Linked DNA regions of Lytechinus pictus. The protein of the gene in region 1 interacts with the protein of each later gene in a pairwise test. Links are inferred from orthologs where the notes say so. Each region holds a gene or a part of one and is shown on either strand. Other genes may lie near its edges.

Region 1 (7,774 bases):
CTTAGCAAACCCCAAAACTTACAGCATGGCCAAAATGAACTATTGGGCTTACAAAAGAAACTCTTCCCTACCAATCTGAGAAATATACTCCACAATTCATTGTAAACAGGCAGAAGTAACGTTTAATCTTCATATCTTTATCATTTACCTTTGAACACCAGATCTGGATTGGCAAACTCAGTGATATCAGCGCCAGCAGAGAATGATCTGCCCGAACCACACAGGACGATGCTCTTCACTGATGCATCTTGCTCTGCTTCCTACATGTAGTACAGGGGGATTGGAAGGAGAAAAATAAAGTTAGTTTAATGGATGTTAACTCAGTAAACCGCATAGATTTTATTAGCCATGGGCCCTGTTGCTCAAAAGGATGCATTCAATCCAACCGTAAAATAACATGCAAGTTCTACATGTGCTTCTGAATGGTTGAAAATCATGTTGTAATTGATTTTTTTGGGGTAGAAATTGTGTTTGATTGCAATTCATTCTGCATTAACATTGATTAGATACAGGTGCGATAATTCTATCTATTATAGGCATATTTCATAGGAAAAAAAATAAAATCATTGGTCAAATTTAATGGTTATTAGAGATGCTAAGCTAGATTCTAACTCTGTTAAAAGACAACCAACCTGTGGCTTCTTGGTGTATAAAGGTTTGCTAGCATTTACAATTCCGTCCACCCAGACCTTTGCTACACTACACAGAGTCTACACAAAATTAGCTTGAATATGAAAGTCAATACAGTATTGTATGGATACCCTTTCACATACATAATTTGTATTGATTCTTGGTGCACTTGTTTGCACAGTTTTTAAAGTAGGGCACTTGACAAGCAATACAATAAACACACATTATTCCTGTAAGAGTATTTGAAAAGATTTCAAAATCAAATAGACTTTCAAAGTGTCTCTAACCTACAAGTAGTTAGCGCTGGAACCATACTGTAGCCTTAATTGTATCTGAAACTTTAAAAGATAATAGGCCTACTCAACCTAAAATCTACATGTAAGTGTGGGATAATACATTAGCCCACCCATTCAGCCAGCTCAAAAGCATGTGGGCAATTCCATAGGTTGGTGGACATGAGCTCAATGTGTCTTTGTACATATAGCTAATCTGAACCGTAACATGAGTAACCACTTTATCTGCACCCCTAGTAAAAACCATGTGTTCTTTATTTTTTTAATTATATACAAATTTGTCTCCCTAATATACTTCTTTGAAATGGATATAATCAACTTTCATAAAAGCCTTGCATGAGGACACTTTTCACTTATGTCCACTCTTCATTTTATGCATGTCCAAATCATGTAACATGAGTAACCAACACATTTCAAAGATTTGCCAGGAGCATAATGAAATTTCCCAAGTTTTGTTTTTATACAAAGGATAGTCAGACTGCGTACTATGTTGTGATAAAGAGATGTTTAGTTCCTATCAATAATAATGGAGTTACAGCTCCAAGTATGAGTCAAGGTGTCTCCAAATGTAACGTGAGTAACCGTGGAATAGCCCATGTGATAAATAGCCAGAGCTCTAAGATTTTCTTTCTGTATAAAACACCATATTTGTGTTGGTCTTCAAAAAAAAAAAATTATTCTTCCTCTATGTAGGGCCTACTGTGAACATATATGGAGTCATGATATTCAACAAATCACAAGAGACAAGAATTCTACAAGACCGATTTGATTTACCTGCTGAGAATTTCAACAGATCATAGTTTACTCCACTTGGTTCTCCTTGATCTTTGAATTTCTTTATTTGTAGGTAAATTTTACCGAAATTTGATTGAAATAAATGAGTAATTAATTATGCTTTCATACACCTAACATTTGGGGCTTTTGTTATGTAATTAGGCCTACAATACATTTTTTAGGCATTTTACACTTGCAATTCTTGGATGGTCCATACAATTAGCATATTCCACTCAATACTTTATTTGATACATGTATGCCTTTAAACGGGGTATGTGTATGAATAAAAAAAAAATGTTGGGCCTTCTCGAGGGGAAGACTAGATCTCACCTTTATTGATTGAACAATTGAAGCTCTGGTTGGATAGCTGCAAGACAACACGAGATTGGGATAGAAACGGAACATTTTATTATTCTCCAATGAACAAAATCTTCAGTTACACTCATCTAATTTACCAGAAGAAACTTTTTGGAAAAAATGTAATTTTGTTCAAAAATCTTGAGGGACTACTACTGCACCTTGAACAAAATCAATTTGAACATAATCTAGATTAAATTACATCAACAGACATTACTAGATGTAGACCTATATCCATCGTATATGACCATGGCATCTTTTTTAGTCACATATTGAAAAACAGAACGATTCCCTAATTCATGTGTATGCCCGCGGGGGGGGGGGGGGTGCACTTGATAAACTTTAGCATGAGTTTGTAAATTCATACCATCAAATCTTAAACATTTGAAATTCCTGAATATGATGATTGCTAGTTAGGAGTTGTTACACTATATAACCCGGATGACACTTTGTTGAATGTTGTGTTCGGGCTGCCGCAGTATAACTAGTCAGAGTAGAAGTTAATACCTGAGAACATTGAGTGGTGGGTTTTTCAATGTGACAACAGCAACTTGTCCACGCTTCGAGAGAGTCGCCATTGCTTCTGCTGTACGTACACTGCCTGTTGTACACAGATTTGACTTGATGACGAGTTGAACCAAATTCTTAGCACGTAACATATCGCGAGGCAGGCGTCAATGCACCGGGTAGTGGAGGGTGAAAATAGCCGACACAGTACCGTCTAGTCTCTAGATCGGATATATGCTGGTACTAGTTTTCAATGCAAATATCATAAAATTACGATTGGCGATCATTAATCCAGAGATCAGCCGCTGATGTAAATCGACTGTAACAATCCACTGGTCATTAGACACCGTATATATTGGATTGTGAATTGGCAAAGTCCAATTTTCCTGAGCCCGAAATTCGTATTGACACTTCGCTCCTGAATGAACTTTGCACATGCACAAAACCTAGTCTAATTCAAAGTAGAACGCCAAAATAGACTTCAGAAAACAGGATATAAATTTAGTCCTGAACATTCCAATTTCTCATAAAGTACACCAATATTATATCATTTGATTTCATCTAATTTTGTGAATCAACTTTTCATTTTTTCATCAAGAAACATTATGAGACTGCTGTACGTGTATATTGTGTATTTCACGAGGCGCATTGTATACGACTACATCTACAATGTGACAATTGGTAAACAAACACGAACATGAAATTCCCAGGGATCCGTCCATGGCTCGAGGGGCGTGTCCCACAGGCAGGCAATGGGCGTGTCAGGGGATTTCCCTTCTCGTGCTCAGGCATTGACGCTGACGGTTGTGTTGCCCGACATTTCATTGCCGCAGAATATATACCGGACAACTAACCTACGGCTAACCTACTTGTGGACATACACATTTGAACATATGCTTTCATTTTTTTGACTGCCGGGATCAATTAATGTTTCATTGGACAAACAATGAGAAAGACGAAAGCATTAAAATGTAGAGAATACTGACACTGGCCATGTAACGAAGATGGGACATGTCACTCACCAACATATATGTATACCCTTAATTTTGACACGAGTGATAGGCAAAAAAATACATAAATAAAATATCTCTTTGCTCCATTTTGTGAAACCTGTATCCTCCCATGTCCAGATTACACTTATTATATATATACCAATGGACTTTGGAAAAGAGAATATTATAAGGTGAAATAATACATGTTCGAAATGAAAGGGGATCTTTCTAATATCTGCAGATACGTGGCATCATAAATCTTGGTCTCAATGCCAATTTGAGGATCTCTACAGCATCAATTAGTGATATCAATGACCATAACCACCTCTTAATTCAATCATGGTCCTAAGTCCATGGTTCAATCCATTTTTCTCAAAATGATCCATTGATCTATTTTGAGCGATTCAAATGCAGTCTCTCCCCGGGTCTCTCCCTCATCTCTGTCTTATGGGAGACAGGTTCAGAAATTGATAACTGAAAGTACACTATCGTGCTAAAAAGTACTGGCTACTCAATATTTATTTCGTCATATTCCTGCAGCTATGTCGAGAAGTATGTTTCCCGTTTGTCATGTTTGCCGTTTGAAAAACATTAGTTATGACTAGGATCAAACTTCCACAAACATGACAAATGGTAATTCAAAGTCCATATTTACTTATGTTAAAAATGCAAACCTCATGATCAAATCAACATGAATGATTCTCGAAACGAGAATTGGATGAAGGGGTGGTATAGCTCATGCACAGACTATATTCTAAGCAGCGGCGTAACAGGGGTCGGTGGCCAGGGGGGCAAGAGCCAAAAATTTCCCGGTCATATCATGGAACAGACAATGGCGTCCTAAGGCAAACATTTTGAGGGGGCGATATGGCGTATCGGGCAAATATATATATAAGCGAGCGAAGCGATCGAGCAAATTTTTTTTGACATTTTTATTGCAAAAATCCAATTTTGTGATAGATTTTGACATAATGTTAAAAAGATGATATCATATTCACCCTCCTCTCTTTCCTTTTTTTTCTCTTTTTTGTACGCCACGGTGAACAGGATTTTTGTTATGATTGTGAGCATCAGGGCGAAGCTCTATATGCTCGAGGGGGCCGAGTATGGCGCTTCTGGCAAGAAGAAGCTTAATATAGGTCCCGAGCGAGCGAAGCGAGCGAGATAAAAAAAAATCACCTTTTCATGAAAATCTAACATGAAGATATATTTTAACGTGATATTCATACAAATATAATACACTTTCCTTTCTTTCCTCATTTTTTTGTTTGGTTGTTGAACTTTTGGGGGCCATGGTCCAAACTCATCCATATAACAGTGCTTTATGGGTGGAGTCCAGGGCAGAGCCCCGGAACTTCTTGATATCAAAGCCATATTAAACCTTACAGATGGCCACTTATTTTAATCAAATTGCGAGCATATTTATATAGCTTTAACACAACACATAAATTCAATGCAGTTGTGTATCGTAATCATCCAAATATTGTGAGGGGCACACCATAGCAAATGTGGGAAAATTTGTAAAAAGTCGCCAGCGAGCGAAGCGAGCCAGAAAAAAAAAGGCCTGTTAAAATGAAATTCTAATTATGTGATAGATTTTTACATCATTATAGCAAATATCATGTCATATATTTTTTCTCATTCATCTCATTTCGCTGCCTCCTTTATTTTCTTTTATTTCCCCTTGGCTGTGGAACCACCCCCGGTACGCCAGTGCTTCAACGTAAAGCTTAATGCAGGAAGGGTCCATATAGGGGCCCGTTATAGAACCCATTAAAGGTTACAGATGAAGAGCCCCTACTGCACGGGGTCTTCACTCTTGGACAGAGCCTTTGGAGATTTAGCAAGTTTATGATAGACTTTCATACGACATTATGCTATATACCACCATTTTTTCCTTCCCGCTCGTTATCTCAATCCTCGGCAGCCCGGTAGTGTACGTTATCTTGTCCCTATTCTTTATTTTCCAATTTAGATTTTGGCTAATTCCATTCTGCCTTTATTTCCCGCTTTTGTTTGCCTTTTTGTCATCTTTAATTTATTTCCCTGTCTTACTAATCATGCTAATGTATTTGTATATCGGGGCGAATTGTTCTTTCTCACTTGTTCTTTTTTCCTTCCTTTTCCCATTATCTTTCCGTTTTCCCTTTTTTATGTTTTTTCTTAGTTTTCTTTTCCCTTTTCCTTTCCCTTTCCCCTTTTTTCTTTCCTTTCCTTTTCTTCCCCTTTTTTTTCCTTTTCCCGTTTTTTTTTTTCCCGGTGAGCTCCGACAGGGGGGGGGGGGGGCAGCTTGCCCCCCTGCCCCCCCCCCCCGCCTGTTACGCCACTGATTCTAAGCACACTGAATTAAAAAAAATATTTTTGCTAAAGTTATTTCACTGCCTTATAAAACATCCCTGAATAAGGTATTATTATCATAATTGTTGTTGTTGGTGTTATTATTCTTATTATTATGCATTCAATACTTTGCTCTGATCTCTAAGGTTTAGACATGACAATTCCACCTTCTTCAATCCCCTTTCTTTCTCCATGTTCTCTCTTCTCCCTCTAGCATTCCGGTTTCTTTCTGTCACTTCCGTCTCCGTCTCCCTCTCTCTCTCTCTCTTGTCTTACATTCACCTCATTTATTGATACATGCTTTCTCTCTTTGAGTTTCCTTTTTGTCCTTTTCACCATACTCCTTTATTGGTCACAAATAATGTTATCTTCGGGTGATAAAAAACACGTGGAGCGCCTCTGGCAGTCTCACCTGCATTACGCAATTCAATATAGCAGCAGTGCTGACTTTCAATATCACTATACAGTGCGTATCAAAAAAAAGTTTACAATTAGAAAAAAATCCTGTAAAATTATACATTTGTAATATCCTGAAGATTTTTCAACATTTGAACATTGGTACAGATCAATTTAAGCAAATGACGATATAACTGTCGAAAAATATTTCCGCTTGAGTGAGTACCACTTACTTATGAAAAGTGAGTGAAAAATGATTTGCGCAGAATTTTGAAATATTTATGCGAATAAAAGTAGACCTTAATCATGAAGAACACGTGGAATTTAGCTAGTAAAATTGATTTGAATACTCTTTTACCTTTTTTAACTTGTTTCCTTGCCCAAAACACTTCAAAGAGTGCATTGCGCCCCACCCCACTCCCTCACACACCGAGGCCATCGTGACGATATTTGCTTTACACTGAGCTGTGATTTACATGAAATGGCTTAGGCTTGATTTACATTCATCTGTTAATCATTGTCAAGCTTGGAAAAGTGTGGAGAAACAAGTATTAAATGAAAAATGAAATGTAAACCCACTTTAAATGATAAAGATTTAGTGAAAAAAATGCTGGAGAAGTCTGATATAAATTTTGTTCAGATTCAGTTATGTCCTCAGATCCAGCTGGCACGAAAAGGGTAAATGTTGTGCTTAATAAGTGTTGAAATTTCAATTCGGGTGGCAAAATTGTTACAAAATGCTTGAATGTATCCGTTTTATTTCAATTGACTAAAAGTGCAAAGGAAATGTATGAAAAATGTTTCGCAGGGTAAATTTGATTTCGCCCTTCCCCCTTGACACTGCGTGAAAACGATTATTTCTGCGCAAATAGATTTCTGCGAGCTTTACAAAAATGGACAGTGCTCACTCAAGTGTAACATTCTGTCAAAACTTTTACTTCCATTGGATAGATGAGACCCAAACCCAAGATTATATGTGAAAAAATACCCATATAATGTATATTTTTTAATTTCCAGGGCCTTTTCAAAGTGTAAACTTTTTTTTGATACCCACTGTAGAATAATTATTATATAATTCAAAACATCACTCATATGATGATAAAATAGTATGTTCATTTACCCTAAATGACATCGATCATGTGACCTAAGACTTAAGCAAGATGATCAGTAATCCTTGATTACCCTTATGTCCACATTTCATGAACTAGATCCTTAAACTTTTAAAGTTATGATGGCAATTCAACAAACATCCCCAACACGGCTAAATAAAAGTTCATTGACCTTGGTCATGTGACCTGAAACTCATGCAGGATGTTCACTCATGCTTATCCTTATGTCCAAGTTTCATGAACTAGATCCATATACTTTCAGAGTTATGGCATTTAAAAAAACTTAACCTTGGTTAATATTTCGTTTTCATTTCCCCAACATAATCTAAGTTCATTGACCCTAAATGACCTTTCACCTTTGACATGTGACCTGAAACTC
Region 2 (7,792 bases), on another chromosome or scaffold:
TGAATTATGGTATTAGACAATTGGAGAGATTAGACTGCCTGGTACTTAATGATTCAAAATGACTATTAAACCTTGAACTTGCATTTATTTTTATGAATGAAGATCGTGTACACTGTACAATTTGCACATCATGTACGTGACATTCAATTTGTACATAGGCTGAAGTGACCTTGTTCCATATCGATTGTCTAGGGGCAATGATATAGGTCTATTTGATTTTGATAAAACTTTGACCTGAAGGTCCGTGATGAATAGCACGGTGCCACAATAGACGAAATGTTTGTTCAATTCATGCACAGATTCACAAAAATGCCTGTCATTCATTTTAAGTTTTATGCTGTGACGTACACATTATGTCAGGAATTATTTGCAATTTATACCGTGTAGAATAATATTCTTATTCCCCAATAAGAATAATAATGGTGATGATATGAACATTTGTAATGTGCCATTATCCATCTTGAGTGTATTGGTATTGGGCAGGAAAGAAAGGAAAAAGAAACATGCGAAGGGGTGAAAATTATATTTACTAAAAAGCATGTCTGTAAAGACAGATTTTAAATGAGATTTTGAAGGTGCTTAGAGAGGGATTTAGATAACTTGTGGAGATTTATTTTTTAGGAATTGTCCAGCTAAAGCTATGGTTACACCGGAACCGAATCAGCTGCGAATCCATTCAAATACATGTATTCGGGTGGTTTTGGGAGTATTCTGTTCACCCTCCAAGAATGCGAGAAAATTCAGGAATATTATTTCGAAACCATGATCAGAATTCGGCTAGAAGCGGTCTGAATTTATTCGATGAATTTATTCGAGAGAATTTGGTTTTGTTGTAACCCTGGCTTTATTGAAATGATTGAGATTGTTTTGCAGCAAGTAATAAAGAATTTCACAATCCACTGATAATACTTTTTCACCTTTTCTACAACACAAGTTAAGAGTAAAAAAACAATAATTTGACCTAACCTACTCTTGTGTGGGTTTGACAGCGATATAAACAATTTTGTACAAAATCCAGATCTAGCGTAAATTTATTGTTCCTCTATCCTCCTTTTTTATGATTGCAGCCTTCACAGATAGGCTTATCAATTGTCAAGTTCAAAAGAAGTAATTCAGGTCACTTTACAGGTTCAGGTAGCTATTAAAAGATTGATTCATTGTAGGTCAAGTTAAAGATTATTCTCATGATCAATAGGTTGTTTTTACATTGACAAAGTCATGTGAGCTGTTTTGTTTTTATTTTTCAAGGCCTCTGTCCATTTTCTTTTGGATTTTTTTTTAGCTGATTGTAGGGAATAATTTTGCCTACCAGAATTTTTATTAGTGTTTTGGTAATAAGAGAAAAGCTCTCCCAATTAAGATCTGTATGTACAGTTCTATATAAGAAACTGCTTTTTTTTGTGTAGCTCAGTATTAAAAATCAGGAGCAAATTGCAAGGCAATGCTAGGAAAATATACCTCCTCGATCACTTTGTTACCAATTTTACAGCACTATGTTTGATGCAGAGTTGGTAAACTGGCTTCAAAACAAATTTGGATCAGTCGTCAATAAAGTTAATATTATATTTTTCTGCTACCCTCTCAGCATATATACTCTTGAATTATTTATATTGACATGTGCTACAGTATCTTTGTTTTGTTATGATGGAAAGAATGAAAAATTCAATTTCTGAACCAATCTACTGCATATTCTGAACCAATATACTGCATTTCTGAACCAATCAACTATTTGCACTTTGATATGGATTTCATGAAAAGCGCTATATAAGACTAGGTTATTATTATATTGTATTGATAACAAGTACTAAAGTAATGAAACATGATTGATGTTTAGATCACTTTTAATAAGGGAAATGACTTGTAAAAATTATATTCATTATCTACAGCTTGTAGTTTCCTTTCCTGTATCTCACGTAACAGTTCTAAATAAAAGTTTCATTTTGCACAGAGCGGAGAAAGAATTCAAGCAAAGCCCATGTTATTACTATAAATTGATTTGAAAACCTGTCAATAGATAAGAATCAATTTGATGGGATAAAGTACATGTATAGACTTTAATAATATGAAGTATAAACTTAAATGAAGATTAAGAATTGAAATGCAAGACAAAATTGATTATTTCCGATTCTTATTATTCCCAGTTCAATACTGCGAGACGACTTTTATTGAACTCATTTATGCAAGATGGCTAGGATGGCTATTTAAAAAAATATGTGTACATCATGTCGTCCAACAATTGAATAAAATATGAACCTTTTTATATTTTATGAATGAGCAAAAAAAATTCAGGTATTAAATTATTTTTTTTAAATTGCAAAATTCCCAGATCAATACTGCAAGACAACTTGATTGAAAATATCCATTCTCGCAGTCCAAAGACTGAATTGCAATGGTTACAATGTATGTACAAGATAAAATAAATAATACAATTAAACATTTGATTACAATTAAACATTTGATTCGAGAAATAAATAGTAAATGAAATAGTTACATGCATGCACAATTGAAAGTAGTACTTTTTGGAACAATTATTAATGAGAAATAAAAGTGTATTCACTGGGAATAACAATGCAATCTAGGAAGTATGATATTACTAGAAAGTTATTAAAATTGAATATTATTATACAAGAATGCTTGTATTTTGAAATTGGATGTTTGTAGATTGATATTGCACAGGTTTGAAATAAAATTGAATGATCTGGGTTAATATATGGTAAAAATAAAATCAAACTTAAGTCATGCAATCTTTACAACTTTTACTGAACTCATTTATGCAAGATGGCTAGGATTGCTACTTTAAAAAAAGTGTACATCATGTCATCCTAAATAAAAACCTGGGCCACGTTACATCAGAGTTTAGACTTACATGTATATACATGTGATGTCATAATCTCATAGCGCCCTCCCTCAAGAGGATATAGGATAACACACAAACAGAGTTGTTAGAAATGCGCCAGCTAACAATCACCAACACACGCAAGGTAATAAATTGCTTTATCCTTTAATAAAGTGGTTTTGATGAAGTCAATGCATGAAGTCTAGTACATGCTAACCAAAATTCTTGATTTTGATCAAGGAGATATCATATCTCCTTGTTTTGATCAAGTGTTTTGAATTGTTACATATATAGGTAATAACATGCACCATTGCATGGCTTTATTGTGATAATAGGAATTCTTATGCAACAAGGCCTGGAACAATAGACAAATTCCAAGTTGCCATCTTTCTTTGAACCCAATATTATGAAAACAGCCTGAAAAAAAAGTAGTCTGAAATATAACAAAGGACGAGGTATAATACTATAGGGAGATATTTCAATCCAGTCCCAGTGCCAAAGAGTCAAGCCACCCTTTCACACAGTAATTTTTTTTTGTAATTTGAATGATGATTCCAGTGAAAAATAAGGCTAATGACAAATTTTAGCATGTGTGAAACCAAACCAGAACATGATTAGAATCACGCCAATCATAATCACGAATTCAAATTCTACTCCGGAGGTGAATTCCAGTTAAGTTTTACTCGAATCACAGTTTTCGAGTGAGCGTTCGAAAGGTCCGATGATTCTAAAGACAAATTGCAATCATCATTACAATGATGATTCAAGATTCACGTGTGAAAAGGCCCAAGGTTTATTTTGTAACAGAGCAAAGTCCAACCGTGACTTTGTGTAAATATTTCCTTTAGGAAGTTTTGTAATGAGAATTAAAAAGGGAATGGTAGGACAGTTGATATACTAAATTTCAAGTTTTTTTTTTTTTAGATATGAATTACATGTAGGTTTTACATTTTACATTTACACGAATCCATGTAAGACTACAACAATCTCCAGGCCTACATGTACATGTATATGGTTGTGTTTGTATTAGGGTCATTTCATGTTCTGATCTGCTCGCTGGATTTTTTTTTCAATTTTCATTTTGAATTCTTTTTTTTCTGATATCTGTTTCTCTACTGTTTCTGCAAAATTCATGTTTTGAAATAATTTTTCCTATATGTATTTCATTTTACATTTCAGAAGCCCTTTTCACTTGTTTCTGTGAAATATTATACACATTAAAGCAATGTGAAATGATATCTTGGGATGTGTTTGTTCTATTCAAGCTGTGTATGTAATGTACCTTTAAATCCCAGGCAAAGACTGAATGTTTACATGATACATTACATCATGTGATTGTGGTAGCATTGTCATCTTTTCTCTTTCAACTCAAATATTGACTCATGTGATATACATGTGTAAAGTGCAGCTTGTGTAATACACTTACGTGTTCTCATCCCCCACTTGTATTGCCATTTTGAATACATAACAATGATTTTGCAACATACATTTTATTTGCTTTTCGTTATGTATGATGGGGGGCCCTAAAGCTACGCACTTTGTTTTCAAACACTATCCCAATTTTAATATTTCAACAAATTATCTTTCACTAATTTGTGGCAAACATTCTAAAGATCGTTAACAAAGAAGAAAATATCGCAAAACTCACTAATGCAAAAATACCGCCGTGTTTTCCAAACACCTCTTGATTTCGCCGCCCAATGTAGAAGGGGTTCTAAAGCTACGCACTCGATTTATCATGCAAAAAAATAGTATTTCCTGTGCCTCAATTTCTAAAATATATTAAAATTATTATAGGATAAAATGAAATTAAAGCGAATATAACTCCAAAATTCCAAACAGTTGTTGGTTTTCTCTGCATTTAGAGATTTACTGCAGCCTCTGTAGAAAAAATTGAATAGGAATCGTTCGTCACTGCAGTCACAGTTCCACACACAGAGTGCGCATTTGCCATAAAAACTGTATGCGTGATGAGTGGTGCGTAGCTTTAGGACCCCCTACCATACATGTAAATGGCAGGAGGGGGGGTCAATGTAATTTCTTTATTTCATATACAATGATGTACATGTACATGTACTTTACTTTTATTCACAATCGCTTGAATGAAGTTACTTAACAGATCTATATTTAAATGGAATGATGGATAAATGGATAATGAAATGAAAGCATTGAGTGAATGAACAGATGGATGTGAACAGATGGATGTATTGATGGATGAATGAAGAAAGGAAGGAATGGATGGCTGGATATTATGATAGATGAAATAATGGCCTTAATGCTAAGTGAACAGATGGAATAATGATTGGGCAAATGAATGAATGTAAAGAAGAACAAATGAAAAAAAAAGAACCTTTTTATATTTTATGAATGAGCAATTTTTTAAAAATTATTAAATTATTTTTAAAAGATGACAAAATAAAATCCTTTCAAATTGATATCTTTCAGGATCCCGATATGTTCTGGGACTTCATCACCCTTCGACCGGAATCCACTCACCAAGTCTCCTTCCTCTTCTCTGACCGTGGCACGCCGGACGGATACCGTCACATGAACGGCTACGGAAGCCACACCTTCAAACTCCGCAACAAACAAGGCGAGCACGTCTTCTGCAAGTTCCACTTCAAGTGCGATCAAGGTATCAAGAATCTGAACCGCCATCGTGCTGGAGAGCTCTCGGCAGGCGACCCCGACTACGCCATCCGTGATTTGTACAATGCCATTGCCACCAACAACTTTGTAAGTTTCTACTTTGGTTTGGAATTTAGAAAAACTACAATGATAATAACATTTGTGGGCCATTTTAATAATAATAATGATTGCTGGATTCATGTAGCGCTTTTTTGCCGGAGGATACAAAATGCTTGCTATAATTACCCCGGCTTTAGCTCAAGCTACCATCACCAGCGCTCATTGCATGCAAGGAATTAATCCTGCTGTGTACCCATTCCCTCACACAGTGTGGATAAATTTCTTGAAGGAAAACATGCCATGGCTGGGGTTCGAACCCACGACCCTCTGTTTGAAAGACAAGAGTTAGAACCACTAGACCAAGACACACCCACAATTTTTTATACTAATGGTCAAAAGTGTGGGCTGACTAACTATTGCAGATAATGAATTGATTAACAAAAAAGATACTAATAATGTAAAGAGGTGAATTTTAAGTAATTATTTGAATATCTTAAAAGTAAATTTAAATTTCAATATTCTTCTTATGATCATTTAGAAATAATAAAGTAGCAAAATGTTCAATGCAGAGATAAGCTCAGTTACCATTGTACTTCCACTGTCATGTTATCAAGCCAAGATTTATTTTGGTCCCATGTACTTGTTTCTGTGTGTAGTTCAACTAAGCATGAGCTTATCCAAATTTTTTGTTTTTAAATATTGGGAAAAGCACCATATTATAAGTAATAAGTATTATTTTTATTGCAGGGGCGGATCCAGGATTTTCCAAAAGGGGGGGGGGGGCAAATTTTTCTGAGGAAAAGTTTGACAAGCCCAAAAAAAGAAAAGTTTTAAACCAAAAAGTAATGATATTTCGTCCCCGAAAAAAATTATAATGCCACTTTTACATTACAAATTACAATTTTGCTTCACAAGAGGGGGGGGGGGGGGGGCATGAGCCAGCTCGTGCCCCCCCCCCCCCCTGGATCTGCCACTATTATGTTATTACTAGTAGTAAATATTAAAATATCTCTTTGCTAAACTTTGACTTTATACAGTAGACATCCTATTTAGTGTTTTGAGAGACAAGGCAAATTTCGAATTATGTCATTTTGTATAAGTTTAGTATTTATCGCTGTTCTCTCTGATCCATTTTCCCTTCCAGCCATCCTGGTCCCTTCACATCCAAGTCATGACCCAAGAACAAGCAGACAAGCACCGAGATAATCCATTCGACCTTACAAAGGTAATCATCTTATTATTAAAATGCATATATTTAGTCTGGAGGTACTTGATCTACATTAACTACCAGGGGCCAGTTTCATAGTAGCACTTACAACTGTGGTTGTAACTTTACCATTGTGGCAACTACTATGGTAAGAGGGCTCAGTAGCCAATCATGGTCAAAGTGTCCATGGTAGTTGTCATACTACCCTAGTTACTATTATTGTCTTTATTTTGAAATGGACCCCAGATGGCCTATTTTGGTCCATGTTTCATTTCATGTTACTGGCTCTTAGTGTAATTGTCCAGAGGATTTATCATTTGAACCAATTATAACCTGACAGAATTGAGTTAAACCCTTTTGATCCATGATTCATTTTATGTAACAGGTACTTGGTCTTATTGTGACATTGGTCTAACTTTAGGAAATGACCTGGACCTTCATGAAGGTCAGATACAATGTATTTTCATCATTGTTGTTACAATATTTACTTTTGTTATGAAAAGGTATGGTCCTTGAACAAAATCTTTCTGACTCACATCGACAAGATGACCTTAAAGGAGAATGAAACCCTTGAAACCAGCTGAATCCATATCAAAGAGAAAAATCAAAGAAACATATTGTTGAAAGTTTGAGGAAGATTGAATGAATAATAAGAAAGTTATGAGCATTTGAATATTGAGATCACTAATGCCATGTAGATCCTCCCATTGGCAATGCGACCAAGATCTGTGATGTCACACACGTACAACTCCCTCATTACTTAAGTACTTATTTCACTTATATTCTCACTTTTATAGAGTCTATCACAAGGTGAGGTGTTCTCTTTATGAGAGGACAAGTATAGAGGTTTCACAACATTATATCATTGATGAATCGTTTGTCATATGATTAGAATGAGCAAAAAGAGATGTTTTGGGGTATATTTTCAGTGTCCAAAAGGGGAGAGTTGTTCATCTGTGACATCATAGATCTTGGTCGCATTGCCAATGGGAGGATCTCCATAGCATTAGTGATCTCGACATTCAAATGCTCATAACTCTTCTATTGATAGTCCTATTTTA

Evidence for each region. The genes of interacting proteins can lie anywhere in the genome.
Region 2: the proteins of peroxisomal bifunctional enzyme-like (region 1) and catalase-like interact in a two-hybrid assay, tested with the Homo sapiens proteins (2 studies listed by BioGRID, with this or other methods). The link is inferred for Lytechinus pictus from reciprocal best matches to the Homo sapiens genes EHHADH and CAT.

Annotation. Positions count from the first base shown.
Region 1 is NC_087257.1:19,522,758-19,530,531, reverse strand, and holds the start of peroxisomal bifunctional enzyme-like, read right to left. Parts: upstream 3,010-7,774; 5' UTR 2,714-3,009; coding exon 2,562-2,713; intron 2,065-2,561; coding exon 2,028-2,064; intron 261-2,027; coding exon 149-260; intron 1-148. UniProt on the Homo sapiens protein: Peroxisomal trifunctional enzyme possessing 2-enoyl-CoA hydratase, 3-hydroxyacyl-CoA dehydrogenase, and delta 3, delta 2-enoyl-CoA isomerase activities. Catalyzes two of the four reactions of the long chain fatty acids peroxisomal beta-oxidation pathway.
Region 2 is NC_087263.1:3,450,420-3,458,211, reverse strand, and holds the start of catalase-like, read left to right. Parts: upstream 1-4,791; 5' UTR 4,792-5,203; coding exon 5,204-5,572; intron 5,573-6,668; coding exon 6,669-6,749; intron 6,750-7,792. UniProt on the Homo sapiens protein: Catalyzes the degradation of hydrogen peroxide (H(2)O(2)) generated by peroxisomal oxidases to water and oxygen, thereby protecting cells from the toxic effects of hydrogen peroxide.